Callithrix jacchus: one gene and its partners. The protein of the gene in region 2 binds, or shares a complex with, the protein of the main gene of each other region. Links are inferred from orthologs where the notes say so. Each region holds a gene or a part of one and is shown on either strand. Other genes may lie near its edges. The genes, in order: PACRG, TUBB4B and CFAP107.

Region 1 (10,174 bases), on a different chromosome or scaffold from region 2:
TGGATCACGAGGTCAAGAGATCGAGACCATCCTGGTCAACATGGTGAAATCCCGTCTTACTAAAAATACAAAAAATTAGCTGGGCACGGTGGCGCGTGCCTGTAATCCCAGCTACTCAGGAGGCAGAGGCAGGAGAATTGCCTGAACCCAGGAGGCAGAGGTTGCGGTGAGCCGAGATCGCGCCATTGCACTCCAGCCTGGGTAACAACAGCGAAACTCCGTCTCAAAAAAAAAAAAAAAAACAAAAAAAACTGGGAAGCTCCAAAAGCTCTGAGTAGTGATAGGAGCAGAACACTGTACTGGAAAGATTAGTGTAATCGTACTGATAATTGATTGAGGGAGTCAGCCAATTGATGGGTGAAAGATATTGTACAAACCTAGACAAAAGGTGATGAGAGACCCCATTAGTTTATTGCCACGTGGTCCCTTCATCATTAGTACTTCTCTACCAGAAATATCTACTTATTTGTATTGTAATTATTTTACTTGTCTCTCTCTTTTTCTTCACTAATAATATAGCACATTTAGCACCGGACCTAGACACTTCTAGTTATCCCCCAATATTCCTTCACTACAGTAATAAAACATTGCAAGTTTGAACTGGACACAGGGCTACCAGTTAAAGACTGCATGTCGCAGCCTCTCTTGTACTAGCTGTGGCTGTAAGACTAGGTTTTAGCAATGGATTTGAGCAGGAATGAAGATTGCTGTTTCTGGGACATGCCCTCATAATGAAGCTGCTTGCTCTTCATTTCTTCCTGCCTAATTCTTGCAGGTTGCTCTGTACCCATTTTTCTCTCCCCTACCTGAAGCAGGTGTTAGAGATGATGCCCTTTGGGAACTACGTAGCTTTCTTCATCCTTTTCCTGAGGAGACAGGTATGTGGACCTGGGAGTTGCTTCATGGGTCAAGCTTTCGTACAATTTTGCCAAAAGGGAACATGTAGGTGTATCACTAAGTTCTGGCCAGTTCGACGAGAATGAAACTGGGGTGCTGTGTCTGGATCATGACCATAATGGGAAGCTCTCTGCTTCCACTTTCCTCCTTCCTGAGGGCAGGTGTCTGACCCTCGTGGTCTTGAGCCCAGCTTGTCTCAGGTGTCATTTTATAGTATACAAAGCACAAACACGCTTCTATGCCCCTGCACCTACCTCACGGGGAAATGCTGCCTAACCTCCTGGGATTGCTTACAAACTTGAACTTCTATTATGACAGAAACGACTTCCATCTTAATTAAGCTATTGTTATTTGGTCTCTGTTAAAGCAGCCAAATTAATATTTTAATACACAATTTATAAACATTGATGATTACCACTATGTGTTAAATGAGTATATGACTGGTAAATATAAAACACATTATACTGTAAAGTACAGTTTGAACTATCCCTTATCTGAAACGCTTAGGACCAGAAGTCTTTTGGATTTGTTTTTGTTTTTTGTTCAAATTTGGCATACAGTCATCCCTCAGTCTCCATGAGGAATTGCTCCCAGGAACTCCTGCAGATACCAAAATCTGCAGATGCTCAAGTCCCTGATATAACATGGCATAGTATTTGTATATAACCTACACATTTCCTCATATACTTTAAATCATGTCTATATTACTTATAATAGCTAAAACAATATGAACACTATGTAAATAGCTGCTATGCTGTATTGTTTAGGGAATAATTATTAGAAATAAAAAGTCTGTACATATTCAATACAGATAAAATTTTTGTCCCAAACATTTCAATCCAAGGTTAGTTGAATCCATGGAGGCGGAATATATGCAAAGGGCTGACTATATCTGTATTATATACTGGTTGTCATGCCAATTCTAAAAATCTGAAATCCAAATGCTCAAAATAGCATTTCCTTTTAGTGTAAGGTCAGCACTCAGAAACTTTCATATTTTGGACCATTTCAGGTTTCAGACTTTTGGAATAGGAATACTCAACCTTTAATATTAAAGAAAATATTTATTCCATTCCCCCAAACTTTAAGCATAAAGCATCTATAGTCTACTGAGAAGGAAAGCTGTAATAGCAAGCTTCGGCTGAATTCAACTTCTCTGTCACTGTAAACTTGGGTCGATTTTCGAATTTGCTCATGATAAGCTGGTTTAGCACAGAAAGCACCTGGCAAGATACAGACCACACAATGCTGGCTTACTAGTCTCTGGTCATGGGCTCTATTGCACTCAAAACAAGACCTTTAAAAGGAAAATGAACTATAAGAAATCTTCAAATTATATATCTTTTATATCTATAGGTAAGCATTATAAAAATGTGAATTTGAATATTATTTGATTGCAGGCCTTTTGTGATGCTCGTTTTCTTAAAGAATGCAACAAAAATTTCATGGAAACAGAGTCTACTTTCTATAGAAGAACTATAGTTGATATTGAGATTTTTAAAAATTTGCCATTTACATTTACTACTTTTTCAATAATTTTGCACACTCATATTCAGACTTACTGTTTAAATAAGTATTTCTGCTTGCATGGCCCATTTGATGAAACATATTTATGACCAACTTTATGTACTTGTATCACTATTGCGCTCAGAGAAATATCAGGAGTCTCTGTATAACTCCATAGGATATACTCAGTTCTTCACGTTTTAGGTGGAAGAGCTTTGGAAGGTGACTTATCTAACTGGAAAAGCGGTTTGGAGGGTATAGGCTGTGGGGCATGAGGTTGCAATTAAGAAAAGCTAAAAATGGGCCTATATATCCTGAATAGAAATACACCTTCAGAAAGAGATGAGGATATTTTGACTTTACAGTGCTGAAAAGTCTATACTGCTAAAGGTAAATATGGTGAAATGTAATTATCGGTTATGAAATTGAAAATTTTTATTTTCTGTACCACTGAAGTTATTTTACAGAAACAGTACTGTCTAGCTTTCTTCTAGCAGGATTTGATTGTTACTTCGGTTTTCCTTGGAGTACTAAGGGCAGAGACTTTGTTTTGCTGATCTTAAATCCTTAGAACTGTGCTTAGCAAGTATTGGGTATTAAGAAAATAGAGAGAGAGGATTGTTGACTGAATAAATAGATGAATGGATAAATAATGTACGCATTTAAGCATTACAATTTCCAATGGCAAGAAACGTATTGCCAGTACGAGATTTTCCTTCAGAATAAAAAAAGAGAAGATAATGGATCTCAACTAAGTTGTTTATAAAGAAGCTGCTTCATAATCAATTTTGTAAGTCTTGTAGGTATATATATTACATTTGGCAATACAGTAACATCAGATTTTGCAGAACTAAAAATTATGAAGACAGGTTTAGGAAAAAACAGGAGAACCCAGCATTAAAAAATACTTGTGATATTAAAGTATAACATTAAAAAAACACCAAAATTGTAAATATTGTGTAGAAGAAAAATTAAATGATTAACTTGAATGGTTTTGGTATTGCTGATAAATGAGTCATCTTGACTCCTATGAGAACCAATTTATGTGAAATTCCATGAAAAAGAATTAGTTACAACAAGCAGAGAAAAAGAATTAGTTACAACAAGCAGAAATTTAGTCTATTTCCAAGAATTTTAACTACTGTAAATCACCTGACATATTTTCTAATAATTAGGATATCATTTTGCACAGCCACATGCAAATCTGGCCTAGGGGTCTATAGGTAATCTGTTTCATTCATGTATTTTAAGTATGTAGTTCAGGAATAAGGTATTAGGTTTGCAACATACAAGCAAAAGAAATAATGCACTGGAAAACAACACTATTCATTTAACATAATGAATTGTCATGCAATAACTCAGATCTTCCCAGGGTGTAAATTATACCGATTTGAAAGCTGCATTTATTATTTAATGCCTCATTCCCAGACAGGTGCTTACTAAGTAGCAAAATCTGGCTCAGCATACCAAGTGTAAAGCTATTTAAAAAATAGGAAGGTTTTTAAAAAATACACTATCATGTATATAGCTAAAATATCTGTATGTATTTTTAATCTTTTTTCTCTAATGATATCTAAGATATTTTATTTTTATTACTACAAATAATAGAGACAAATTTGAATTGTATTAGTAGCAGAGATAAATGAGCTAAAGCTTGTATTGTTTAAAGCACATCATCTAAAAAGGCCTATCAGGAAACAGTGTTCATATTAAGTTGGCTTCCAGTACTCTAACAAGCTGACATCATTTTGTAAGAGCCAAGTGTAAAAGTAAATGCTAGGGTATTCTAAAATTTCCTAGGTTGAAGAGAAGAAATTTCTTATTATAGATTACTTGAGTTTATATCAGCTCAGTTGTATATCAGCTCATGTTAAATTTTGCAAGAGTTTATGATTTCTAAGAACTCACCTACTATAAGGCTCTTCGCTGAGTAGGGATAGTTAGGAATTAGTAAGTAAGGGGGATTTTTTTCCTGGTGTAAATAGCGCAAACTGTGAGCTATCGGGGAGGTGCTTATAAATGGGCAGAGTACATCATTTGCCCAAGATTCTAACAACTTAGCCTGCCCTCCACACGCTGTGGGATACCGTCTGCTACTTGCCAAGTAATTGCCATTTTTGGCAAAGACCACCCAGGGCTTGGGCTCAGAGTCCATCCTATGGCTGGCCAACCTCTGTAAATCTCGTGTCCCCTGATTCGGAGCAAGTGCATTTAATTCAGGAAGATCACTTACGACTGAGTTTTTCATCATGGCTTTGACTGTGAAGCCCTCAGAAACCAGGGAGTGAGGCTGGTGCACCGGGAGAGGCTGTTGTGCCAGCAGCTTAGTCCTCTTCGGCATCTTGTCTGGGCATTTGTTTAAGCTCAGGGTCTCTTTTTCTGCCACCATCTTCCTAGAAAATATCTTGTTCTCATAAAAAGTGTAGTAAAAGAATCAGTGGATTTTACGGATGTGAGCAGGAGGTCGGGAAAAAAATGTCAAAAGGCGCGTTAATGGTAGAAATTCAACCCTTTGTAGTGCCCAGGTTGATCCAGATGTTTGGCAGCTCCTTGGTGAAGGGAGTTTAGGGGAGGGGCGGGGCGGGAAGAGGGCAGGACCGTGGCTAGAGCTGCAACAAGCTTCCAAAGGTAAGCCTCCCGGTTGCTAAGCGACTGGTCAACACTGTGGGCGCAGGGCTCTGCCCGCCTCCCCTGTGACGTAAGCTTCCTGGGCCTGAAGCCGGAAAGGGCGGTGGTAGGGACGTGGGGAGGAGACGTGAGAAGAAACTACGCATTAAAACTACGACTCCCAGCAGGCCCAGGGCCGCGTACCGTCCGCGCGTGCGCATTGTTAGGGCCGGGCGCGGGGGCGGGGAGGCCTGGACGATTTAACTCGGGAGAGCCGCTGGTGGCAGGTGCGGGCGGTTGCCCGTGCGAGCGTAGGCCCCCTGTCTGTCGCGCAACAGCCACCTGCCCAGTGACCATGCTAGGTACGTGGGTGCCTGCCAGGTACAGCCTCTCTGCGCCGCCCCGCGTCCCGGTTCGGCGCCACGCCCCGCCTCGGCCGACCGGACCCCCGTTGCCAACTGTCAATGACGGAGCCAAAGTGCCCGTGCCTACCCCGGCCCACGCCGCTGGGCTCCCCAGTTCACTGACGCCGGCCTGGGGCCCCAATGTGTGTGTTCCAAGCGCCCCCCGTCCTCTCCCGCTCTGAGCGTTACCGAGAAGACAGCCTCGCCGGGGACGCCAGTCGGCCCCGCATCCCCTCTCCTCGCTCGCGGTCCCTCGGACCGTGCGGGGTCCCGAAGCCCTCGCTCCGCCGCCGTCCCCCCTCGCCTTCCTCCATCCCCTGGCCGGCGGTGGTCGTGCGGTTCAGTACCCATCGAGACCCACTCTCTGTGGGGCTCTTTCAGGAAACCCCAGCAAAGCATTAAACTCTAATGGAAGGCACCTGGTGAGGATGGTTGGGCTCCACAGAAACTCCTCCAGATGGATCTAAACTTCTTGCCCCTTCGAATGTTTCCTTTTCAACCTCTCGTTGAAGGTCTGAGGTGAAAGAAAAATTAAGAGTAAATAATTGCCGAGATTACATCTTCTGCCTTTTGCAAAATTACGATTTTTTTGGTAAAACCCGGAATGACCGAGCTGCAATTTTGTAAACGAAACTTGGTGGCTATCAGAGTTGTTCATGAACACTTGAAGTGTGAGATGAGCAAAGGTCCTGTCTTCCAGGGTTGTTAAGGCAAAAGTTACTTTAGGGGCTAACCCTGAACATTAATGGAAATGCACCATATGTTTAGAAAACAATGCTATGTGAGATGTCCTTATTATGGAGGTTTCTCCACGTAATGTATGGAGGGTTTGGTGAGCTCGTTTAGGGCTAATTCCTGAGGAGTGTCACTTACAAAACACTTTGGATTGCAGTAAGTACTTTCGGAGTCCGATGCGGTCTGTCCAGAAGAAAGATGAAAGGTGGATTTATAAAATATTAATCTTTATGCACTGAAAATACTTCTCATATCTGCTTTTGTTTATGAAGTTATTGTTAAAATGTAAACATGCTACCCATTAGTGGGAGACTCAGGTCAGGTAACTGGCATTGTCTTTGTCTCTGTGGTAAAACAAGAATGTTCTTCAGCTTTTCTTCCCTTTCTATCATGGTCTGACTTTTGGTGAATGACTTGAAGGTTATCAAATTATGAAAAAATTACAAATTTTATGAGTTTTCCTGAGCTCTTTTTAGGTGACGTCTACGTCAGATTGACTTGTAATCACAAATCTGAACTGAATCAGAAAACCAAGTAGAAGAGGTTTTCCAGAATCCGTGCTGTCAGTAGTCTACGGGAAGAAAATAGCCTGTCTTATTTTGAAGACAGTTAAACACATTTTATTTTAATTCAACTTAATCTAGTGCACAAATAATTTTAAGAGAAACAACCTTATTGTAAAGCTATATGAAGACAGGCACTTAAAATCTAAAGAACATTACCCAGTTATAAATTATTACCTAATAAGTTATATAAATAACTTTATTAGGATGAAATATGTTTGGGCAGTTCTGTTTAGTTTTATCTGGAATTCTTCTTCCAAGAAGGAAGAAATACGATCTTTGGAGCTGATGATTCAACAGTTATCAATTACCAGTAATGACTTGGAGACTAGAAGGTTGGTTTTAAAAAAGTTTTCTCCGACTCCAGCTGTTGCTTTAAATAGTGCAAGTAAGTGTGCATTAGAACATAAATGACTAAATCCATGCCTGCCTTCCTTAGGAAATGTACATTACATAAGAAATTGTGGACAGTGTGCAATACATTATTTTATTCAACTAATTGCATTGCCTAATTCTGAAATTAGACACCCGTCCCTCTTTTTTTTTTCTTTCTTTTCTTGAGACGGTCTGGCTCTGTCACCCAGGCTGGAGTGCAGTGGCACCATCACAGCTCACTGCAACCTCCAATTCCTGGGCTCAAGTCATCCTCCCGTCTTAGCCTCCTGAGTTGCTGTGACTACAAGTGTGTGCCATGCCTGCCAATTTTTAAGTTTTTGTAGAGATGGAGTTTCATTGTGTTGCCCAGGCTGGTCTCAAACTCATGGGTTCAAGCAGTTCTCCTGCCTGGGCCTTCAAAATGCTGGGAGTACAGGCGTGAGCCACTGCACCCAGCCTCATTAGACACATTTCAATAAACATCTGAATGGCCGGTTTGGGATTTAGGTGTGGAGAACAGTGCTAAAGGTAGGTGAAAGTGACAATGATTAAAAGGAAGCCCTGGAGTGATGGATTTTGTGTGTTTGTGAAGATAATTCAGAGCCAGCAAAGACAATGTAGACTTTACCCAGTGATCAGTTGGAGATCAAAATCTAAATAGTATGTATCTGTGATTGTTTTTCTGTTAAAGGTAAGAGCTTTCTTGAAGCTTGCTCCTTTCAGATCTACATTTTCTCTAAGTGCTAAACTCGCCTTAATGCAAATAATACTCTTCCACTTTATTTAAATTCTGGCTTACTTTAAGGTGAAACATAAAGATGCATTTCCTGGTAGAATAGGAATAAACAGGACTGACTGTGACCTCACTGCTAATGAAATGTACCTTCTGTTGACTTTCTCAAAACCAAAGATTTTCTTCTTGGCATGAAGACTGTTTCAAAAATACTTACATTTCCCACGTGGATTATGATTGATACACTGAATATTCTGATCCAGGCAGCTACAGAAACATAATTTAGTTAAAGTCTGTTAAAAATTGTGCCTTTGTGAGCTGGGCGTGGTGGCTCATATCTGTAATCCCAGCACTTTGGGAGGCCAGGGCGGGCAGATCACCTGAGGTCCTGAGTTCGAGACCAGCTTGACCAACATAGAGAACCCCATCTCCACTGAAATATAAAATTAGCTGGGTGTGGTGGTGCATGCCTGTAATCCCAGCTACTTGGGAGGCTGAGGCAGGAGAATCGCTTGAACCCAGGAGGTGGAGGTTGCAGTGAGCTGAGATCGCTGCATTGGGCTCCAGCCTGGGTAACGAGAGCGAAACTCTGTCTCGAAAAAAATATATATACATTTGCCTTCTGTAAAGTGTGGAGAAGGATTTCAGCACAATATAAAACAGAATAAAAATGCCTAAAATAATTCAACTTATAAAAATGTAATTTTTGGTACCGCTATTAAAAATATATGTTGACTTTTTAAAAAATAAGCAGTTCTTTGTGTTTAAAATGGAATGTTAGTGGTGATATTTGTGGTTTATTCTAAACATTCCGTAGAACTGGATTTAGGTATTTGAGTAACAGCAGATATTAGAGGGCATGGTTATATATACAAACATGTTGTCAGTATTGAAATACACATTTAGTGTCTTATACTTTAAGATTTTTAACGAGAAAAAAACCAGTCATTGGAAGATAGTCTCTTCTATACCTTGTTTCACTTAGCATCTCTTTGAGAATTTACACATCTGCAGGTACAGATCCACTCCACAGCAATTCCTGCCCAGTCTTTTATGGAATGCACTAATTATGAAAATACTTATCGATAAATCAACACTCATTAGGTTTACAAACAGCTGTTATCTGAAATGTTTGTGGCCGTATCTTTTTACTTGCATATGTAAGCATATATGTAAAATAAAAATCTTAATGACAATTTCTGAGTTAAAGAGTTTGTAGATTTTAAATTTTGCTAGTTTTTTCCAAATTTGTAAAAAAAATTGCCCTATTTTTACAAGCCTATCTAAAATCTCCTCTAATGCAACATGGTAGTAGAGATCTGCCCTATCTTTCAGGGCTGAAAATTCCAAAAGGCATTCTTCCTGAGACTGACTCCGCTTTTACTAGTGGAACACCTACTGGATTTCCAATCCCCTACCTTTCTCCAACCCAGATGTAGTGCCTTTCAGCATACAAGCTGCACGACTGTCCTTGGTGGCCCTGCCCTTTGTTTCAGTGTGTATGAGAGTACCTATTTCCTCCATCAAAGATTATTTATTTTTGCCCTCTTCACAGATGAAAAGCAGCATCTTTTAACTTTTCAAATTAATATGTGAAGAAAACTTCCTATTCTCATAATGTGTCAGTTTCACAAAAGCAGATCCAGTGATTCCAGCACCTGCTATGTGTCCTGGTCTGCTCTAAGTGCCAGGGAAACGAGGGAACCCAACAGAAACAGTCCTTTGCCCTCAGGAACGTACATTCCGCCTTCACTATTTGCTCATACATCTGCATATTTGTTTTCAAGCTTGTGTGCAGTAAATTTCAAAGTCTCAATTTGTATTTCTAGTTGAAAATACGGTGTATTGCTCTTTGCCCTGCCATTTTAATGAGTTGATGAAAACCAACTCTATGCCTAAGTACCCCAAAGCTTCTGTTTATGATGAGGGAAAATTGTGTCAAAAATAGGCTCTACTAAAGTTTTGCATAGACGATTTTATATAATTATTTAATAATTCTTCCTTGGGTCGGAACGCTCTAAAATGACCCAATGCCCTTTACAATTTTGGCTCTATTTCTGAGGATGTTTTTGCAGTCTGCAGTTTTTGAAACCTCATAGCTTCATTGCTTGAAAATGATACAGTGAAAGTATTTTGTATTAAGATATGTAAATCAATTCCTACCTCCAAAGCTTCTTTGAAAAATGCAAAAAAAGTTATTCGAAATGCTTCATATTCATGAAAGCAGTTTTAATGCAAAATACTTGATTCTGTTAGCTTTTAGTTCTTTGATCAATGAAAATTGTTTCTTACCTGCTGTATCTTCAGCCTTTAATTGTAGCCCAGTGCTTATTCAGTGTTTCTGTTTTAATTCA
Region 2 (10,096 bases):
CCCGCTCACATCTCCCAGGCCCTCTGCCCCCTTGGCCCCCAGTCTTCCCTGGGTCCTCTGCCCCAGCTGCCCGCCAAGCTCTTAGGCCTCCTAGTCCTGGGTTTCACCCACCGAGGGAGATGACCACTTGCTCTAGGAGGCGGGGGGGGGGGGGGAGGAGGGGGACTCAGGGGTGGGCTCCAGCGAGAACGGAACCCTTAGCAGCTAGAGCTTCAGTTCCCACAATCCTGTGATTCTAGGATGCCCTCTGGGCCTGACACCAGCTTTGTGGTGCCGACTGGCACCCCTGTAGGGGACAGGCCTGGCTGGCTCCCTGGGGAGACTGAGGGAGTACGGGGAGCTCCCCTACCCTTTGAGGGGAATCAGTGAGGCCCTTGTGGAGAAGGAAGAAGCGCCCATGCACCTGTCCTTCCAGGCAGGTGAGGCCTCCCACAAAAGCTAGCCTCCGGGTCCTTTAAGGCCGTCAACACTGTCTGCCTGATGCCCCCATCTGGCGGTAACACACCCTCCCGCTGGGACCATGGCCACCGGTAAACAGAGCCGTCACTGTGGATCCTCCGACAGCTGCAGGCCAAAGGAGGAGGGCGGCACTCCCCCAGCCCCGCCTGCGGCCCCTGCCCCGCCTGCCCCACTTCCCAGCTCTTCTGGCCCTCTTTGGACTGCATCCTACATGGCCACAGACCTCGGGCCCCAGCGGTTGATCCTCCTGTCCCACACTATCCCGCCTCTCCACCCTCCAGCAGGCCTAATTTATTCTTTTAAAAACATTACAAAAATACAGCCGGGCATGGTGGCTCACGCCTGTAATCCCAGCACTTTGGGAGGCCGCAGTGGGCAGATCACCTGAGGTCAGGAGTTCAAGACCAGTCTGACCAACATAGTGAAACCGACTCTACTAAAAATACAGAAATTAGCTGGTGTGGTTACTCTGGAGGCTAAGGCAGAAGAATCACTTGAACTTGTGAGGAAGAAGTTGCAGTGAACCAGCTGGGAGTGGTGGCTCACGCCTGTAATCCCAGCACTTTGGGAGGCCGAGGTGGGTGGATCACGAGGTCAAGAGATCCAGACCATCCTGGTTAACATGGTGAAACCCCGTCTCTACTAAAAATACAAAAATTTAGCTGGGCATGGTGGCACGTGCCTGCAATCCCAGCTACTCGGGAGGCTGAGGCAGGAGAATTGCCTGATCCCAGGAGGCGGAGGTTTCGGTGAGCCGAGATTGCGCCATTGCACTCCAGCCTGGGTAACAAGAGCGAAAGTCCGTCTCAAAAAAAAAAGAAGTTGCAGTGAACCGAGATGGTGCCACCACACTCCGGCTTGGTTACGAGAGCACAGCTCAGTCTCAAAAATAAATACAAATACAAATACTACAAAAACACAGCTGGGTGCAATGGCTCACATCTGTAATCACAGCACTCCAGGAGGCCAAGGTCAGGAGCTCAAGATAGGCCAACACAGTGAAACCCTGCCTCTACCAAAAACACAAAACACAAACAAGGCTGGGCACAGTGGCTCATGCCTGTAATCCCAGCACTTTGGAAGCCAAGTTGGGTGGATCACGAGGTCAGGAATTCAAGACCAGCCTAGCTAAGATGGTAAAATCCCATCTCTACTAAAAATACAAAAAAATTAGGCAGGGCATGGTGGCGGGAGCCTGTAATCCCAGCTACTTGGGAGGGTGAAGCAGAGAATTGCTGGAACCCAGGAGGCGGCCATTGCAGTGAGCCAAGATTTCGACACTGCATTCCAGCCTGGGCAACAGAGAGTCTGTCTAAAAATAAATTAAATAATTAGCCAGGCATGGCGGTGCACACCTATAGTCCCAGCTACTTGGGAGCTGAGGCAGGAGAATCGCTTGATCCCAGGAGGTGGAGGCTGCAGTGAGCCAAGACCACACGTTGCACTCCAGCCTGGGTGACAAGAGCAAAATTCCATCTCAAAAAAAAAAAAGGAAGGCCGGGCGCGGTGGCTCACGCCTATAATCCCAGCACTTTGGGAGGCCGAGGCAGGTGGATCATGAGGTCAAGAGATAGAGACCATCCTGGTCAACGAGGTGAAACCCCGTCTCTACTAAAAATACAAAAACTAGCTGGGCATGGTGGCGCGTGCCTGTAATCCCAGCTACTCGGAAGGGTGAGGCAGGAGAATTGCTTAAACCCAGAAGGTGGAGGTTGTGGTGAGCCGAGATCGTGCCATTGCACTCCAGTCTGGGCAACAACAGCAAAACTCCGTCTCAAAAAAAAAAAAAGAAAAGAAAAGAAAAAAGCTACAAAAATACAGAAGGCACAGTAGCTCTTGCCGGTAATCCCAGCACTTTGGGAGGCCGAGACGGTCAGATTACATGAGGTCAGGAATTTGAGACCAGCCTGGCCAACGTGGTGAAACCCCAGCTCTACCAAAATTACAAAAATTAGCGGCATGGTGGTGGGTGCCTGCAGTCCCAGCTACTGGGGAGGCTGAGGCAGGAGAATCTTTTGAACCTGGGGGGCCGAGATCGTGCCCCAAAATAACAATAATAAAATAAGCAAAATAAAAATGCTAGAAAAATACAGCGCATCTGTTTTCAAGCAGACTGATTAAAGGTGGGACCACACGCGATTCATAATTTTTCCTACCCAAGTAGAAATCAAGTCACAAACTGGGAAAAGCATTAACGGAAGTATCACTTAGCCCCAGCGCGCCGACCCGCGGTTGGAAGACCCGCCCTGGAGCCCGGGGCCACCTGCCGACGGAGAAGCTCGCGCATTCCGGGGGCAGAGGCTCCAAGGAGACCGGCGCAAGGCCAGCACCGTCTCCACAACAGAGCAGGGCGCGCGGCTGCGGGGAGGCCTCTGCCCTCCGCTCCCCTCCCCCCATGTGCTCCCTTCACCCGACCGCGAGGGCAGCGGGCGTGCGGGACGCGGCAACAGGAAGGCCCACGACCTCCGCGACTCTGCAGGGAGCTCCCCTCGGGGCCGCGGCCTCCGAGCCCGGGTATCTTCCGGCCTTGAAGGCACCGCAGCTTCCGCAGCCTGGAAGCCCTGGGCTCGCTCCGTGCGGACCCCGCTCCCGAACCCACCCGGCGCCCAGATGCCGTGTCCCGGGGCAAGGCCAGCGAGGGTGCAACACCGGACGCTGGGCCGCCGCAGGCTTGCCCTTCCCGGCTCCCGAACTGCGTTCCCGGGCTGCGAGCCAGGGCTGCGCCCGCCCCAAACCCGCCCGGCTCGCCCTCCCCCACCGCTCCCCGCGCAGCTGCCCGCCGCCCGACCGGAAGCCTGCGCCCGCGCCTGCGCCCCACCCCTCCGCGCGCCTCCCGCGGCACTGCGACGGTTACCAGGACGCTGACCCCGCGCAGCCAATAGCGCCAGCCTGACGGCGTGCTCCCGGGAACCAGCCAATGACAGAGCAAATCAATCATTTGAAACACCCAATGGACGGAGCACTGCAGCACCAGGTGGGGGGATTGTGATAGGGAGATCGGAGGCTGCGGCTGACCAATAAAGACCAAACGGGGTTAAAAAGGCGGACCTTAGGCAGGTTGATTGACAGGAATGCGACCAATCAAACGAGGGAGCTTTCCAGCCTCGTTCTGGCAGCCAAATCCGAGGCTGGCGGAGGCGGGCGCAGAGAGTATATAAGCATTGGCGGAGCGTCGGTTGTAGCAGTCTGCGCGCCTGCTTCTCCGCTTGTTTCGCTGTCTTTCTATTCTCGTCGCTGTCGCTGTCGCCGTCGCCGCCATCATGAGGGAGATAGTGCACCTGCAGGCCGGGCAGTGCGGCAACCAAATCGGCGCCAAGGTGAGCTGCCGGGGCGCTGGGGCCGGCGCGGGCCAGCCGGGCGAGGCGGCCGGGCGGCCCGGGAAGATGGCGGCAGCGGCGGGCGGCGCCCCCGCATTGCGGTCGCTGGGCCCTTGGCGCGGGGACCGGGCTGAGCCGGGCGGCCGGAGCCCCCAGGAACCTGGCGGCTGGGGCGCGTGGCGCAGGGGGAAGGGCGGGGAGGGCCGGGCTGCCGCGCCCGTCCGGGGCGGGGCTGCCTCCCTACACACCGGCCGCGGTGACTCAGCCCCGGGCCTCCCGGGCCCGCCCGCGTCCCTTGCAGTTCTGGGAGGTGATCAGCGATGAGCACGGCATTGACCCCACGGGCACCTACCACGGGGACAGCGACCTGCAGCTGGAGCGCATCAACGTGTACTATAACGAGGCCACCGGTGAGGCCCCAGCCCCTTCCCCGACCGCCCTCCCTGGACCCCGCGGTCCCTGCCCTGGCTGACGCCCTCCCGTCCCCGCAGGCGGCAAGTACGTGCCCCGCGCAGTACTCGTGGATCTGGAGCCCGGCACCATGGACTCCGTGCGCTCTGGGCCCTTCGGGCAGATCTTTCGGCCGGACAACTTCGTTTTCGGTGAGCCGCGGCTGGGAGCTGGGCGGCGGCTCAAAGGTCAAGGGGCGGCTGCAAGGGCACCGCGGTGGGAACTGCGCGGCCAGGGCCCCTGGATCCCTCCTTTCCTGAGCCGCTCAATCTCCTCTTCTAAATCGGCTTTGGGAGCAAGGTCCAGCTGTCTGCCGAGGCGAGGAGCCGCCGCCCACATAATCTCCCTGCAGGGAGCTGACCTGGGGGCAATGTCGGCTGCTCTGTCCTTGGAAATTGGCAGGGCTCCTGACTTCGTTTTGACCCGGCAGGCTGCCGATCTTTCGCTTTGAGGGTCCCTTTGCTCTACCTGCAGGGTGGATTCTGCGGTCAGCCCACACCACGTGCTTGGCTTTTTTCCCATGGTGTTTGTGACCAGTAGTGCTATCTACCTGGCTAACAAGTGACTAGCTGTGTTCTCTCTCAGGTCAGAGTGGTGCTGGGAACAACTGGGCCAAGGGGCACTACACGGAAGGCGCAGAGCTGGTGGACTCCGTGCTGGACGTTGTGCGGAAGGAGGCTGAGAGCTGTGACTGCCTGCAGGGTTTCCAACTGACCCACTCCTTGGGTGGGGGGACTGGGTCTGGGATGGGTACCCTCCTTATCAGCAAGATCCGGGAGGAGTACCCAGACAGGATCATGAACACGTTCAGTGTGGTGCCCTCCCCCAAGGTGTCAGACACGGTGGTGGAGCCCTACAATGCGACCCTCTCAGTCCACCAGCTTGTAGAGAACACAGACGAGACCTACTGCATCGATAACGAAGCTCTCTACGACATCTGCTTCAGAACCCTCAAGCTGACAACGCCTACCTACGGGGACCTGAACCACCTCGTGTCTGCCACCATGAGTGGGGTCACCACCTGCCTGCGCTTCCCAGGCCAGCTCAATGCTGATCTGCGCAAGCTGGCCGTGAACATGGTTCCGTTTCCCCGCCTGCACTTCTTCATGCCTGGCTTTGCCCCGCTGACCAGCCGGGGCAGCCAGCAGTACCGGGCCCTGACAGTGCCCGAGCTCACCCAGCAGATGTTTGATGCCAAGAACATGATGGCGGCCTGCGACCCCCGCCATGGCCGCTACCTGACGGTGGCCGCTGTGTTCAGGGGCCGCATGTCCATGAAGGAGGTGGATGAGCAAATGCTTAATGTCCAAAATAAGAATAGCAGCTACTTTGTTGAGTGGATCCCCAACAACGTGAAAACGGCTGTCTGTGACATCCCGCCTCGGGGGCTAAAAATGTCTGCCACCTTCATCGGCAACAGCACAGCCATCCAGGAGCTGTTCAAGCGAATCTCAGAGCAGTTCACCGCCATGTTCCGGCGCAAGGCCTTCCTGCACTGGTACACGGGTGAGGGCATGGACGAGATGGAGTTCACCGAGGCCGAGAGCAACATGAATGATCTGGTGTCCGAGTACCAGCAGTACCAGGATGCCACAGCTGAGGAGGAGGGCGAGTTTGAGGAGGAGGCAGAGGAGGAGGTGGCCTAGAGCCTCCAGTCACCAGGAAAGCAGGGAAGCGGTGTGAACTCTTTATTCACTCCCAGCCTATCTGGCTTGTCCCGCTGCGTGTGCACCTGCTGTTTTCCCTTTCATGCGCCATGCTGTACAGACAACACCATTAAAGCTGTTTCATAGTGTGTGGTCTCGCCGTGCCTGTTCCTTCCAGTAGGCCTTCCGGGTGCTGTTGCCAAACGTCAGCGCGTAGTTGTCCTGCATGGCTGTGGGGACCGAGGGTGCTGCTGAGCTGGGCTTTTCACATGCCAGGGACCAGCATAGGCTGGAAACTGGGCTTCAGAAGAGTGTGGGGCTGCTCTGGGCATCTGCTTCCTGAAGCAAGCCTGGCCTGTCCTGGGTACCAAACCTTAGGGGGCCAGGTGGCCTGAATCTGGGCATTATTAGGAGAGCCCAGTAACCCCCATCCAAAAGGGACAGAGAGAATGGCCAACAATCCTACCACAAGATGGAACCCAGGAACTGGCCAGACAGGTGGTTCCAAACCAGCAGTGAAGGGTGGACAGCTTGAGCCCCAGCCACCCCTCCCCACAATGGCCAGCATGTGTCTGTGTGACCCTGTCCTAAGAAGCTGGGCATGGGGTCCTGTACTCACAGGGGATGAACCCCATGTAGAAGGGGATCAGGCCTTGACTGCTGTAGATGTGGTTGTTAGGCCAGTGTGTTTCCAGAAGCTTCTCCCCCAGGTCACAGTGGGGGTTTCTGAACAGGAACTGGGAGACAGGCAGGTACTAAGGAGCTGCCTCCCCCAAGGGCAACCAGACCACACAGTGTCCCCCTGGTGGGGGCGGGGGCCGGCACTCCCCGTGGGAAAGCTGCTCATGCTCCCAGCCTCCTGCATCCCCACCCCACACTCCAAAACTTTAGTGCAGGGATCCAAGATTCAGGAGAGGGCGTTGGGGCGCCCCCTCTGCGTACAGGAGAGCCAGGCAGAGCCCCCTCCCCAGGCTTTGCAGGGAACCTGGCCTTCAAGGCCCCTCCAGGGAAGCTGCCAGACTGGAAGAAGTTGTGTGAGCTGGGAGCAGGTCTGGGACGGCGCTCTCCTACCTGGCTCTTGTCGAACTCGTCCATGGCCTGTGCGACGCCGTCTCGGTAATTTACCCCCATTACCCAGGAGAACCGGGGAATGAAGCCAGCATAGCCTGGGGTGGGCAGTTGTGCAGGTCCTACTCAGGCCCTTTGACCTTCCCCTGGCCATACCCACCTCCCCAGACGCATCAGGGAAGCCACGTAAGGCTCTCTTTCCTTTCCTGGATGTTGGCGACTGCCTGCTGTGGCCAAATGGGAAGAGGCAGGCAGGACAGCACCTCCTTCTGGGAAAAGCTGGACTCCTGGAAGCAGCAGGAAGCAGAGGAGGTCCCCCCAGCCTGCTAACCCATTCCAGAGCAGGAAAAGCGGCCCTTGTGGCAGCCTGACGGGCCCTCATTCCTGGAACCTTGTGGGGAGGGACGTCCTCGTCCAGCCCAGCCCTGCGCCCACCTGCGATGGCCTTGCGTTGGATTAGGTTGGGGTGGTCCAGCTGTGGCAGCCGCTGGAACCTGCACACATCTAGTGTCTCCTGCTGGTGAGTGTGGGGTGGGTACTCGTCCCTCCGGCAGTGGTACAGCTGCAGTGGGGAGGGCAGAGGTCGTCCTGCAGCTCCCATCCAGGGCCGAGCTGGAGTGCGCTTGGCACTGACCAGTGCATCCTGTACCTGCTGCTGCTGCCTTCGGGCCTCACAGACAGGGGCGGCGTTCCTCCAGGCCTCTTCCCTGAAGGCCAGCCGCAGGCCTGGGTATCCCGAGTCTCTGGAGTCCCCCTTCCTGCCTGGTGGGCACAGTGGGTGGGGGGGGTAGGGCATGACACCTGCAGGCAGCAGAAGGTGTCTGGGTATGTTCTCTACCCCTGGTGGCTCCTGGGCGTCCACATCCAGGGGTGGCAGCTGGCCTCGGATCTCAAAGTTCTTGTAGGGCTTCAGACCTGTAGACAGGGCAGCCTGTGAGTGCCGGGACAGGCGGGCGCGGGCAGGTGTGGGGCTGGGGATGGCAGCTCACTGGTGTAGTGGGGAACGTAGGGCTCAGTCAGGTCTCGGCAGGGAACCCAGGGAGGCCTGGACTGGCTGAAGTCCTCAATGAACTTGGGCTTGGACATGGGGGACAGCACAGAACAGGGGCTCTTCTGCACGCTGGGGTCTGTGAGCAGCTGGCCTGTGGTGCGCCCGTAGGTGTTCCCCACCTGGAAGCGCAGCTGCGGGTAGAAGCCGGCATAGCTGTGATGGGAGAGAGGAGGCAGGGCAGGGCTCAAGGGCAGCCCAGTGCTGCCCAGGGCCCATCAAGCCAGGCGGGGGTCCAGCCTGCCCACCACTGAGCAGCGGCTTGGCCCTCGGCAGGTCCCCTGCCCTCTGCTTATCTGCAAATGGGACTGCAGAGGCACTTGCCTTCTGGGGCTGTCGTAGTCTGAACAGGCAGTGCACAGCACATGCTGGGGACGAGTCAGCAGCACCACAGCAGATGGCTGCTGGCCTTGTACAGGCTACGACAGCCTTCCAACCCCTCCCAACCCTCATCCCAACGGCCAACGAGTCAGGGGTTCTCTGCCCTGGCAGAGCAAATTCAGGCGCAGGACATGTGGGCCAGGGCCTAGGCAAGGGGCGGCCCCCTGAACACAGGCTGGGCCCGCCAGGAGTGTGTGCGGTGGGCTCAGCCTGCCCCTGCCACCCCAGGAGGTCAGTGGTGTCTCACAAGGACCAGGGCTGGGGCTAGGCTTTTTGGGGCCTTCATTTGGCCCATGGGGCATGTTGCAGGTGGTGCAGGCGGTTCAGCTCCTCAGGGCCTGCATAATCACTGAAGGACTGAGAACTGCCTTTGTTTCAAAAATTGCCAACGGGCCGGAGCGGTGGCTCACACCTGTAATCCCAACACTTTGGGAGGCCTAGGCGGGCTGATCCTGTGAGGTCCGGAGTTCAAGACCAACCTGACCAACATGATGAAACTCTGTCTCTACTAAAAATACAAAATTAGCTGGCCATGGAGGCTCATGCCTATAATCCCAGCTACTCAGGAGGCTGAAGCAGGAGAATCACATGAACGGGGAAGCGGAGCTTGTGGTGAGCTGAGATCATGCCATTGCACTCCAGCCTGGGCAACAAGAGTGAAACTTCATCTCAAAAAAATAAAAAATAAATAAAGTATGAGTCACACCTATACAGTGGCTTACGCCTATAATTCCAGAACTTTGGGAGGCCAAGGCAGGTGGATCACGAAGTCAGGAGTTCTAGACCAATCTGGCCAACATAATGAAACCCCCTCTCTACTAAAAATACAAGAAAATGTAGCTGGGTGTAGTGGTGTGCACCTGTAATCCCAGCTACTCAGGAGGCTGAGGAAGGAGAATTGTGTGAACCCCAAAGGCGGAGGCTGCAATGAGCCCAGATCACATCATTGCACTCCAGCCCGGATGACAGGACGAGACTCCATCTCAAATAAACTAATAAATAATTTAAAAAAAACATAAAGGGCTGGGTGCACTGGCTCACGCCTGCAATCCCAGCACTTTGGGAGGCCAAGGTGAGCGGATCACCTGAGGTTGGGATTTCGAGACCAGCCTGACCAATATGGTGAAAACCTGTCTCTTAAAAAAAAATTATATATATTTATATACAAATAGGAACTAAAGTGTGGAGTTCTCTACAGAGTGGGCATCAGGCACCTCCTAGCTGGCCTGCACCCGCTGCTTGGCTGCCCTGGTTTCTGATCAGCAGACGTGTGGCCACCTGGCGTGGTGTTTGCAGTGGTGCACCAGCAGGGAGGGTGAGGGCTGGGCCTCTGGCAGCCCCATCCCTGAGCGTCCCGTGTCCCAGGCCAGCTCTGGGCCCCTCACCGCTGGTTTCCATGCCTCAGGCCCCAGCCCTGCTCCCCTCCTGCAGCCCTGGCTCAGCCCCTCCAGAGCTCCCGGTCTTACCCAGGGATGTAGTGTGGCTCTGGCGTGAGGAGGCTGTGTTTCTGAGTCGCTGTCATTTTGCTTCCACTCTGGCCTTGCTGGCTCCCGTCCCTTCCGGTGTCCAGTCCCCTTCTCTGAGGGGAGTCCCGTTGCTGGGCAACCATTGTGAGGGGCCAGCATTGTGGGCACCTCGCTGCACAGGTGACACACAGAGGCCGAGACATGTGCCAGTCTGGAGAGGGGTCACAGTGAGGCAGGGGGCCTGTGAGGAAGTCCCATTAA
Region 3 (10,174 bases), on a different chromosome or scaffold from region 2:
CTAATTTTTGTATTTTTAGTAGAGACTGAGTTTCACTATGCGGCCAGGCTGGTCTTGAACTCCTTACCTCAGATGATCCACCTGCCTCGGCCTCCCAAAGTGCTAGGATTATAGGCGTGAGCCACCATGCCTGACCCCAACTCAGTTTTGTTGATTTTTTTCTGTTGTTTTTCTATTTCCTATTTTACTTATCTCTTCTCCAATTTCCTTCCTTCTGTTAGCTTTGCATCTTATTTGTTCTTTTTTTTTTCTATTTCCTTAAAGGGTAAAGTTAGGTTGTTAATTTGAGGTATTTCTTCTTTTTTAATGAGCTGACAGCTGTAAATTTCCCTCTTAACAGCATTTTCCCTGCATCCCATAAGTTTTGGTATGTTGTATTTTCATTATCATTTGTCTCAAGATATTTTCTAATTTTTGTGTGATTTTTTTTCTTTACTGATTTTTTTTAACAGTGTGTTGTTTAATTTCCACGTATTTGTGGATTTTTCAGTATTTCTTCTGCTATTGATTTTTAGGTTCATTTCATTTGTGATCAGAAAAGATACTTTGTATGATTTTAATCTTTATAATTTACTAAAACTTGTTTTGTAGTGTAACATATGGTGTATCCTGGAGAATATTCCATATGCACTTGAGAGAAAGCAAAACACCACCAACAACAAAAACATGTATTATGTCTTGGTAGGAGGAGTATCTGTCAGATCCAGTTGGTCCATAGGGTTGTTCAAGTCCTCAATTTTCTTCTTGATCTTCTGTATTTTTTTATCCAGTATTAAAAGTGGGGTATTGAAGTACCCTACTATTATTGTAGAGTCATCTATTTCTCCCTTCAATTCTGTCCATTTTTGCTTCATACATTTCAGAGCTCTAATATTTGGTGTATATACATGTGTATTATTATACCTTCTTGGTGAATTGGCCCTTTTATCAATAGATAACGTCTCTCTTTGTCTCACAATGGTTTTTAACTTAAAGCCTACTTTGTCTGATACAAGCCCTACCTACTCCTTTCTGGCTCTAATTGCGCAAAATATCTCTGCTTCCTTTCACTTTCAACTTACACGTGTACTTCCATCTATAGTCAGTCTCTTGCAGGCAGCATATGGTTGGATCCTGTTTTGTAAACTCTCTGCTAATGTTTGCCTTTTATTGGGAAGTTTAATTCATTTACATTTAAAAGTGATTACTGATAGGGAAGGACTTACTTTTGCCATTTTAGTATTTGTTTTCTGTATGTCTTGTAGATTTTTCTCCCTTATTTGCTCTTACTGTCTTCTTTTGTGTTTTATTTTTGAGGGGCACATTTTGATTCCCTTATTATTTCTTTTGTGAATATTTGATAGGCATTTTCTTTGTGGTTACCATGGGGATAATATACAATGTTCTACAGTTATAACAACATATTTTAAATTGTGACCAACTTGGCCGGGTGCGGTGGCTCATGCCTGCAATCCTAGCACTTTGGGAGGCCGAGGTGGGTGGATCACCTGAGGTCAGGAGTTCAAGACCAGCCTGGCCATTGTGGTGAAACCCCATCTTTTAAAAAAAAAATTGTGACCAACTTAAATTGCATACCAAAACTCTACTCTTTTTATAGCCCTGCCTCCCTCTGCTTTATGTTATTGAAGTCACAAATTACATCTTTACATAATGCATACTCATTTACATAGATTTATAATTTTATGCACTCGTCTTCTAAATTCTGTCAAAAATAAGGAGTGGAGTTATATTCCAAAATTATAATAACTCTGGCTTTTATGCTTGTCTACATATTTACCTTTCCTGGAGAAGTTTATATTTTTGTATGACTTCAAGTTACTGTCTAATGACCTTTCATTTCAACTTCAAGGATTGTCTTTGAGAATCCTTCCTTGCAAGTTAGGTCTACTGTCAATAAACACCCTCAGCTTTTGTTTATCTGGGAATGGCTTAACTTTTCCCTCATTTTTAAAAGACAGTTTTGTGGAATACAGAAATATCAGATAACAGTATTTTTTTTATCAGCACTTCAAATATATTATCCCATGGCCTTCCAGGCTCCAGGGTTTCTGCTGAGAAAATTCCCTAATTATCTTTTTTATTATTTATTATTTTTTTTTTTTGAGACAGGGCTTTACTCTCACTCTGTCACCCAGGCTGGAGTGCAGTGGCATGATTTTGGCTCACTGCAAACTCCACCTCTCAGGCTCAGGTGATCCTCCCACCTAAGTCTCCTGAGTAGCTGGAACTACAGGAATATACCATGTGCCCAGCTAATTTTTATCTTTTGTAGAGATGGGGTTTTACCATGTTGCCCAGCTGATCTTGAACTCCAGGCTCAAGCAATCCACCTGCCTTATCTGCCTAAAGTGCTGAGATTCAGGCATGAGCCACCACATCTGGCCAATTCCCTAATAATCTTGCTGAGGATCCATTGTTCTTGATGAGTTACTTTTCTCATGGTGCTCTCAAGATTCTCTCTTTGTTTTTGGGTTTCAATATTTTAATTATAAAGTGTTTCAATGAGGGTCTCTTTAGATTTTTTCCTACTTGGAGTTCATTGAATTTCTTGGATATGTAGATCTATGTATTTACTGAAATTTGGGAATATTTCATTCATTATTTTTTCAAATACTCTCTTGGCCCTTTTCTCTCTTCTCCTTATGGAATCCCCTTAATGCATATATTAATATGCTTGATAGTGTCCCATAAGACCTATAGGCTCTGTTCACTGCCTTTAAATTTGCTGATTCTTGCTCCTGCCTATTCAAATCTGCTGTCAAATCCCTCTATTGAATTTTTCAATTTAGTTATTGCATTTTTCAGCTTTAAAACTTGTTTGACTCCTTTTTAAAATTTCAATCTCCTTTTTGATAGTCTCATTTTGTTCATGTATTGTTTTCCTTATTTACTTTGGTTCTTTGTGTCCTTTAGCTACTTGTCCATATTTAAGTCAGCTGTTTTAAAGTCTTCTCCCATTGATTTTCTTCCTTTGGATGAGCCATTTTTTTTTCTATTTCTTTGTATGTCTGGGGTTTTTTTTGTTGTTGTTGAAAATTGGGCATTTGAAAAACAGCCAACTCTTCCAGTCTCTGTAGACTGTCTCTGCAAAGGAAGATCTTTTCTAACCAGCAGGTAATGTTCTGAGTCTTGGGGTCAGCCCAACATGAAGGCTTAAAGCATTCTCAAGCCTGGTGTACATCTTGCCTGGACCTGGGTATGCTTTTTAAAATTCCCCCATATACACAGCTGCCTTTAAATGTTTTAATTTCCAAGAAAAAGTCTCACCCCTGCTTCTTCTTGGACTTCAGATGTTCTATTGTATTCCTCTACCCATAGTCTCTGGCCCCAGGTATTTATAGGTTTGTAATCCCCTGGCAGCTTTCACTAGCTGTGCCTGTCATTGCTTTCCATGGCTTTTCCCAGCCTGAGATCTGAACCATGCCACCTTCTCCCATCTGAGCTCCAAGTCAGATGAAATAGCAATCCCTCAGGCAGCCCCAGACAGTTTCAAATGTTGCTCCACCCACTCTGATTTGAAAGAGGGAGCTTGGAGCTGAGCTGCCACTTGCCCTAAAATGCAGACTATGCTGTGCTGTGCTGGGGAGGTAGTGGGAAAAGAGTAAGTAAAAACATCATGGAATTTCCTATCATTCTGAATGTGCCTTTTTCTTGATTGGGCATTTGGCTGGCTGCTGTGTATCTTTGACTGTTTTCCAGAGCTCCTATAACGTTTTCACGTTTTTTCTTTAATGTTTCCATGGGGAATGAGAACCTGGAGCTTCTCAGTGGCTTAGTCTCACTTCTTAGGTGTGAGACCAGCCCATAATGTCCCTGAGTAGTGCATCACCCATGGGCACCTGAAGGTATTTTTGACCAGTCCTTTTTGCTTTTGGAATTTTTCTTGCACATACCTGCTCCCCAAACAAGGCCAAGTACAGTTGTTGCTGATGATGAACAAAGGTTGTATCTGGCCAGAGAGGTGGTGATTACTAACATTCTCCATAAAAACAGACTTTAAACTTTCCTTCTTTTCTCCATACCAAAGCTGACAATTCTATTTCACCTTCTTTTCCTTGCTCACTTTCCAAGAAGACATGGAGAAGTGTAGATGCCTTTGAAAAACTTAAATGGCTTAGTCTTGCCAAACACGAATGAAGATATTCAATTTCAAGTACATCATCTTGAAACTTTGCCAACTCAGGCAAGGTGTTTTCCAAAGACCTTTATAACACAGAGGAAAACCAAGAGCCTAATTGTTCTGTTTGAAAGCAAAAATTGGCTGGGCATGGTGGCTCACACCTATAATCCCAACACTTTGGGGGGCCAAGGCAGGCAAATCATTTGAGGTCAGAAATTTGAAACCAGCCTGGCCACATGGTGAAACCCCATCTCTACTATAAATACAAAAATTTAGCCAGGTGTGGTGGCGTGCATCTATAGTTACTCGAGAGACTGAGGCAGGAGAATTGCTTGAGCCCGGGAGACATAGGTTGCAGTGAGCCAAGATTATCCCACTGCACTTCAGCCTGGGCAACAGAGCGAGACTCTGTCTCAAAACAAAAAAAAAAAGAAAGAAGGTAAAAATTGAAATGCATTGGTAGGGCAAGATTGTGGAAAGGTGCCAGAGAGCAGCAAGCACATCCCTGGACATCAGTGCAGAGAATGCCAAGCTGGCCTGAGGAGGTACCACATTCTGGGAAGGGCCAGGATAAGGAGAGCAAATGTTCTTCACATCAAGGTACAAAAGAATTAGGGACAGCACGTATATAGATGCCTAGAAACACTTCACTGAGAATAGTGCTGAGAAGCACAACTATATTGACACCCTGCTACAGTATTCTAAAGATAGAGTAGGGAACTTGATGGTTGCTTGAATATAACTATCCTTTGTACAGCACGAAGACTCCAATGCCACATTTTTAAGATGCAATCATCTGCTGCCCTCCATCTGAAAACAGTGATGGACTTCACTCCCGCCTCTCCCCATCAGTCCTTCCTCTGAGCCCTCTGCCCAACATCTCTCGTTTCCTTACCTTTCTCCTCTCTTCCACCCAGTTTCCAGTGAGCACTCTTGTTGAATACTTGGTCTCGATCTGCCAGCTTGGAGTAGAGACTGGTTGTGGATTTACTGCAGTGAAAAACATGATAAGGATTTGCCCCAGGTTTCTTTGACTTGACACAGTTTAAGGTTTTAGGGAGAGAGGAAGGTGTTATGAAGTTGCTGAGTTTGGGGTGCCTTTTTTTTGTCTTCCCAGCTGGCCTCCTGATGGCTCCCTGCTAACCTCAGAAAATACAACGGCCCCAAGGGTTCACTTTCAGCCTCTAGAGAGAGGTGATCTATCTTGGATTCTCTACTGTTGACTATCTCCATGGTGACAGACTCTGGGTATAAATAATCTCTGTAACAGAACAGCTGATTCTGCAGAAGCAAAATTGAGCTTGCAAAAATAAATCAAACCAACCACCACCACAAAGGCAGCCTCCGGAAGAACCTGGTTTCTGTGTTATCACTATAATACCAGCATCATCTTTGCTACACTTTTACAATTGGGATGAGTTAGATTCTGCTACTATTTAACGAATGTTAATTCATTTGCTTGCTCCAAGCAAAGACATTTATGTACATTCATTCACCTGTTTAATCCTCACAGCCGCCTTCTGAGACAGATGCCACTGTTATACCCATTTTACTAACGAGTACGCCGAAGCAAAGAGATTAAGTCACTGCCTAACGTCATGCGGTTGTGATGAGATTTAAATTCCACACAGAGATTTAAATCCACTCTGGTTCAGACCTAAACCACTGGGATCCCTTCATTTCCTGTCTGCTACTTTTCAGGGGCTTGCATAAAGAATTCTATCTTTGTGTCTGCATTGGTATAATACAGTTCATTCGGTCAGTCTTCATTCATTCATTCCGCAATCATTTCACATTCTATGTCAGGTGCTTAGCTGCAGCTGCAATGCATTAGCAACCAGACCTGGGCACCATCTCCACAGAGCTCAGTCCAATGAAATAAGGGTCTTTGTCTTGCTCATTCATTAGGAAAAAAAAAAAGTCAAAAAGCACCAAGATATCCATCAACAGAGGGCTGGTTCAATAAATTGTACTATATCCATATAATGAAATACTTGGCAAGTGTTTTAAAGGCTGATTTAGGAAGATGCCTATAACAGATAGTTAAGTTAAATAACCAAAACCCTGTGTGCTGTAGTATTGCTTGCTAAAAATGAAGAGGCTGGATTTACTGCAGTAGAGAAATTCAGAGCAAGTTTCCAATGGCCTTTAAACAAAAATATTGGAACTCCAGGAAACTACGTGTTCCTTCTTGAAACTAAGCCTGTGGCAGGAAAAGGCCATGAAAGACGTCCCGCAGATTAGAATAAACCTTTATTAGCAGAGACCACAGTGGGGGCAGGGCTGGAGCTAGGAAGAGGCGATGTCCTTCTAATTAACGTGCAGAGGAGCCATGTGTTCGGCATAATTCAATTCCATCCTCACGTGAAACACAAACATCAAAAAGTACATTACAAATAAATGTGCAGGCTGACTGCGGTGGCTCACACCTGTAATCCCAGCACTTTGGGAGACCAAGGAGGGTGGATCACGAGGTCAGGAGTTTGAGACCAACCTGGCCAATATGGTGAAACCCCAACTCTACTAAAAATACATAAAATTAGCTGGGCATGGTGGTGTGCACCTGTAATCCCAACTACTCGGGAGGCTGATGCAGGAGAATTGCTTGAACCCAGAAGGCAGAGATTGCAGTGAGCCTAGATCAGACCACTGCATTCCAGCCTGGGCAACAGAACAAGACTCCGTCTCAAAAAATAAATGAAAATAAATAAATGTACAGATAATTGAATTATGGAATAGCAAAACCCCACAAAAACCACTGAGTTGGTCAAGAAAGAAAACATTGGCCAGGCGCGGTGGCTCAAGCCTGTAATCCCAGCACTTTGGGAGGCCGAGGCAGGTGGATCACGAGGTCAACAGATCGAGACCATCCTGGTCAACATGGTGAAACCCTGTCTCTACTAAAAATTACAAAAAATTAGCTGGGCACGGTGGCACATGCCTGTAATCCCAGCTACTCAGGAGGCTGAGGCAGGAGAATTACCTGAACCCAGGGGGCGGAGGTTGAGGTGAGCCAAGATCACGCCATTGCACTCCAGCCTGGGTAACAAGAGCGAAACTCCGTCTCAAAAAAGAAAAGAAAACATTGCCAGTGCGCCCAGAGTACTCCACATGTCCCTCCCACTCACAACCCTTTCCTCCCCTAAAGGAAACCACTGTCTTGACTTTCATAGCAATCATTTCCTTGCTTTTCTCTATATGCTTAATGCCGAAGTATGCTCCTAAACCATAATGTTCAGTTTTGCCTATTTCTGGACTTTCATACAAGTGCAATCCTATAGTATTGAGTCTGATCTCCCCAGGCAAGTTAATGTTTTTAAGATTCACGCATTTTGCATGTTGTCATGTTTACTATGTTTTATTCATCATGGCCATGGAAAAGACCGCCAGCATGGCTAAATAGTAAAAAGAAGAGCTTTAATGGTGATGGAAGTTTGCAAACCGCACAGACGGATAGTCTCCAGCATGGATCAGAGCTATTCTCTCTTCCAAGAGAAGAAGGACAGGTTGGGTTTCATGCTTCACAAGGCCTGTATTTATATATATTCAGCAGGTTTGGGGGGAAGCTATACATATTTATGAGTGGAACTGAGCACATGCACAGTGGAAAAACATGTACGTAACATCTTTCATACATGTTACGTAAAAAACATGTACATAACATGTTTCGTACACATGTACGTAACAATATTTCGTAAACATGAAATAGCTTTGCATGTTTGTGGATTGCATGTAAATGGAATCCTATAGTATCTGTTTATTCAAGTCTGGCTTCTTTTCCCCAATATTGTGAACGTTTTAAAGATTCACCCATGTTGCATGTAGCCCTGGCTGCTATGACTGTTTTGTACACGATTGTCACTCAAAAGACCGCCAGGGTGGGTAAATAGTAGGAGAGCTTTCTTGGTGACACCAGCTTGCAAACTGTGGGCCAGGTTTTAATATTAAATGAGGTGGAATTTGGCTCTTTATGTCAAAGGTGAACTGTAGGACACAAAGAGAGTTTCTGCACAGCCTCTATAAGCTGGCTGAAACTGGCTTTAGGTCTGCAAGATAAGCCCGGGCAACATGGTAAAACCCCCATTTCTTAAAAATATATCTATACACAAAAAATAGCCAGGTGTGGTGGTGCTCACCTGTAGTCCCAGCTACTAGGGAGGCTGAGATGGGAGGATCCCTTGAGCCCAGGAGTTTGAAGCTACAGGGAGGTGTGATCATGCCACTGCACTCTAGTCTGGGTGACAGAGAAAGATCCTGTCTCAAAAAAAAAAAAAGAAATTAAAATAGAAATTTAAAATATATTTTGGTGGTCATCTGGAGAATACTCCTCTATTAGGCTGTGTAGATCTTCCAAACTACACCATATTTTAAAAAATACACTTGCTGCTGGATACGGTGGCTCACACCTTATAATACCACCACTTTGGGAGGCTGAGGCCAGCCAATCACTTGAGCTCAGGAGTTGAAGATCAGCCTGGGCAACCTGACAAAACCACATCTCTACAAACAAATACAGAAATTAGCCAGGCGTGGTGATGCACACCTGTAGTCCCAGCTACTAGGGAAGGTGAGGTAGGAGGATGGCCTGAGCCCAGAAGGTGGAGGCTGCAGTAAGCAGTGATTGCACCACTGTACCTAGCTTGGGCAACACAGCGAGACCCTGTCTCAAAAAAAAATCCCATCTGCTAACATCTTTACTGACATCGTCAGAAAAGCGCTGAACTGTTAGGAAGCTGTCCAGCTCACAGTGGCGGGCGCAAGTTTTCCAAAGTTCTAGCTCTAGTTCTGTTATTGGCAACACAATTTTGTTATTGGCAACAACTAAGCTCAATTGTTTTCCTTGAAGTGACAGACTTACTTCATTTATTTTCAAGAAAACATTTCATCGGGAGGCTGAGGCAGGAGAATAGCTTGAATCTGGGAGGCAGAGGTTGCAGTGAGCCAAGATCGCACTCCAGCGCTCCAGCCTGAGTGACAGAGCAAGACTCTGTCTCAAAAACAGACAAACAACAACAACAAAATAAAACATTTCAAATTTAAATAATCATGGTTTGTCTGCAGGTAATCATGGTCTGTCAAGTAAGTATGGTATTTCATTAAAAAAAAAAAAAAAAAAAAAAGCCCGGCTAATTAACTCGGTTCACAAGCAAACTTGCTTTTTTTTTGTTTAAACTGTGAGTATGTGGCAGTGAAGAATAAATGATACTAATACAGTTAATGGCACTACCTTAATTTGCGCATAGGTGCCAGCAATTTTACCCACAAATGCTTTTGCACCATCGAAGTCAGTACTGTGGGCCAGGTGCGGTGGCTCACACCTGTAATCCCAGCACTTTGGGAGGCCGAGGCAGGTGGATCACCTGAGATCAGGAGTTCGAGAACAGGTGCCCAAAATGGTGAAACCCTGTCTCTACCCATAATACAAAACTTAGCTGGGAGTGGTGGTGCACCACTACTCGGGAGGCTGAGGCTGGAGAATCGCTTGAACCCAGGAGGCAGAGGCTGCAGTGAGCAAAGATCATGCCATTGTACTCCAACCTGGATGACAAGAGTGAAACTCTGTCTCAAAAAAAAAAAGTCAGCACTGTGGAAAAAGGCAAATAACATCTCAGTATTATTATGAAAATTGTTTTGACCTCACAGGCCCCTTGGAAGGGACTTGGGGTCTCCAAGCCTCTGTGGATCTCACTTCGAAGCCCACTGCTCTAAGGATCAATATTTTGGAGTGAAATTGCTGCATCAGAGAGTGCCTATGTGTCTCCAACTGTACTATATAATGCCAATTATTTTCCAGAGTGTTGTATCAACTTACATTTCCACCATGAGTGTATGGGTGTTTCCATTGCTCCACACCTTCCCCAACTCTTTCAGCATCCCAAACAGAAACTCTATACCCATTAAGCTATAACTCCCCATGCTCCCCTTCTCCTAAACCCCCGGTAATCTCTATGCTACTTTATCTCTGTGAATTTGCCTAGTCTAGGTATCTCATATAAGTGGAATCATATAATCCTTGTCCTTCTGTGTCAGTTGTCTTTCACCGAGATGATGTTG

What was found.
Region 1: the proteins of TUBB4B (region 2) and PACRG are in contact, whole or in part, in a cryo-EM structure (PDB 7UNG), measured with the Homo sapiens proteins. The link is inferred for Callithrix jacchus from reciprocal best matches to the Homo sapiens genes TUBB4B and PACRG. Residues at the interface, in NP_006079.1 of Homo sapiens: Glu194, Phe260, Pro261, Arg262, Gln291, Phe294, Asp295, Ala296, Arg306, His307, Gly308, Arg309, Tyr310, Val333, Lys336, Asn337, Ser339, Tyr340, Phe341, Gln375, Ser413, Asn414, Asp417, Ser420, Gln423, Gln424, Tyr425, Gln426, Asp427, Glu432; in NP_689623.2 of Homo sapiens: Glu40, Gly41, Phe42, Thr43, Val44, Ala46, Met47, Met48, Val53, Arg54, Gly55, Pro56, Pro57, Ala58, Ala59, Gly60, Ala61, Phe62, Arg65, Lys154, Arg160, Arg162, Arg191, Gln192, Pro195, Asn198, Ile199, Phe200, Asn202, Met203.
Region 3: the proteins of TUBB4B (region 2) and CFAP107 are in contact, whole or in part, in a cryo-EM structure (PDB 9CPB), measured with the Bos taurus proteins. The link is inferred for Callithrix jacchus from reciprocal best matches to the Homo sapiens genes TUBB4B and CFAP107. Residues at the interface, in NP_001029835.1 of Bos taurus: Lys19, Glu22, Asp26, Tyr36, Asp39, Ser40, Asp41, Leu42, Gln43, Leu44, Glu45, Glu53, Gly56, Gly57, Tyr59, Pro80, Leu215, Leu217, Thr219, Thr221, Tyr222, Gly223, Asp224, His227, Leu228, Ala231, Gly244, Gln245, Phe270, Pro272; in NP_001033296.1 of Bos taurus: Thr74, Val75, Glu76, Gly77, Leu78, Tyr80, Lys81, Leu83, Ile84, Thr85, His86, His87, Gln88, Glu89, Gln92, Arg93, Tyr94, Leu95, Ile96, Ser97, Thr98, Asp101, His102, Pro133, Pro138, Thr139, Asn140, Tyr141, Leu143, Tyr144.

Annotation. Positions count from the first base shown.
Region 1 is NC_133505.1:169,262,460-169,272,633, reverse strand, and holds the start of PACRG (parkin coregulated gene protein), read right to left. Parts: upstream 5,084-10,174; 5' UTR 4,793-5,083; coding exon 4,637-4,792; intron 1-4,636. UniProt on the Homo sapiens protein: Microtubule inner protein (MIP) part of the dynein-decorated doublet microtubules (DMTs) in cilia axoneme, which is required for motile cilia beating. Suppresses cell death induced by accumulation of unfolded Pael receptor (Pael-R, a substrate of Parkin).
Region 2 is NC_133502.1:185,646,158-185,656,253, forward strand, and holds TUBB4B (tubulin beta-4B chain), read left to right. Parts: upstream 1-3,642; 5' UTR 3,643-3,719; coding exon 3,720-3,776; intron 3,777-4,077; coding exon 4,078-4,186; intron 4,187-4,267; coding exon 4,268-4,378; intron 4,379-4,811; coding exon 4,812-5,872; 3' UTR 5,873-6,013; downstream 6,014-10,096. Other genes in the region: CIMIP2A (ciliary microtubule inner protein 2A), read right to left, coding at 6,014-6,102, 6,492-6,609, 6,944-7,038, 7,376-7,502, 7,590-7,855, 7,930-8,144, 9,836-10,038. UniProt on the Homo sapiens protein: Tubulin is the major constituent of microtubules, a cylinder consisting of laterally associated linear protofilaments composed of alpha- and beta-tubulin heterodimers.
Region 3 is NC_133508.1:50,638,167-50,648,340, reverse strand, and holds the start of CFAP107 (cilia- and flagella-associated protein 107), read right to left. Parts: upstream 5,346-10,174; 5' UTR 5,127-5,345; coding exon 5,016-5,126; intron 1-5,015. UniProt on the Homo sapiens protein: Microtubule inner protein (MIP) part of the dynein-decorated doublet microtubules (DMTs) in cilia axoneme, which is required for motile cilia beating.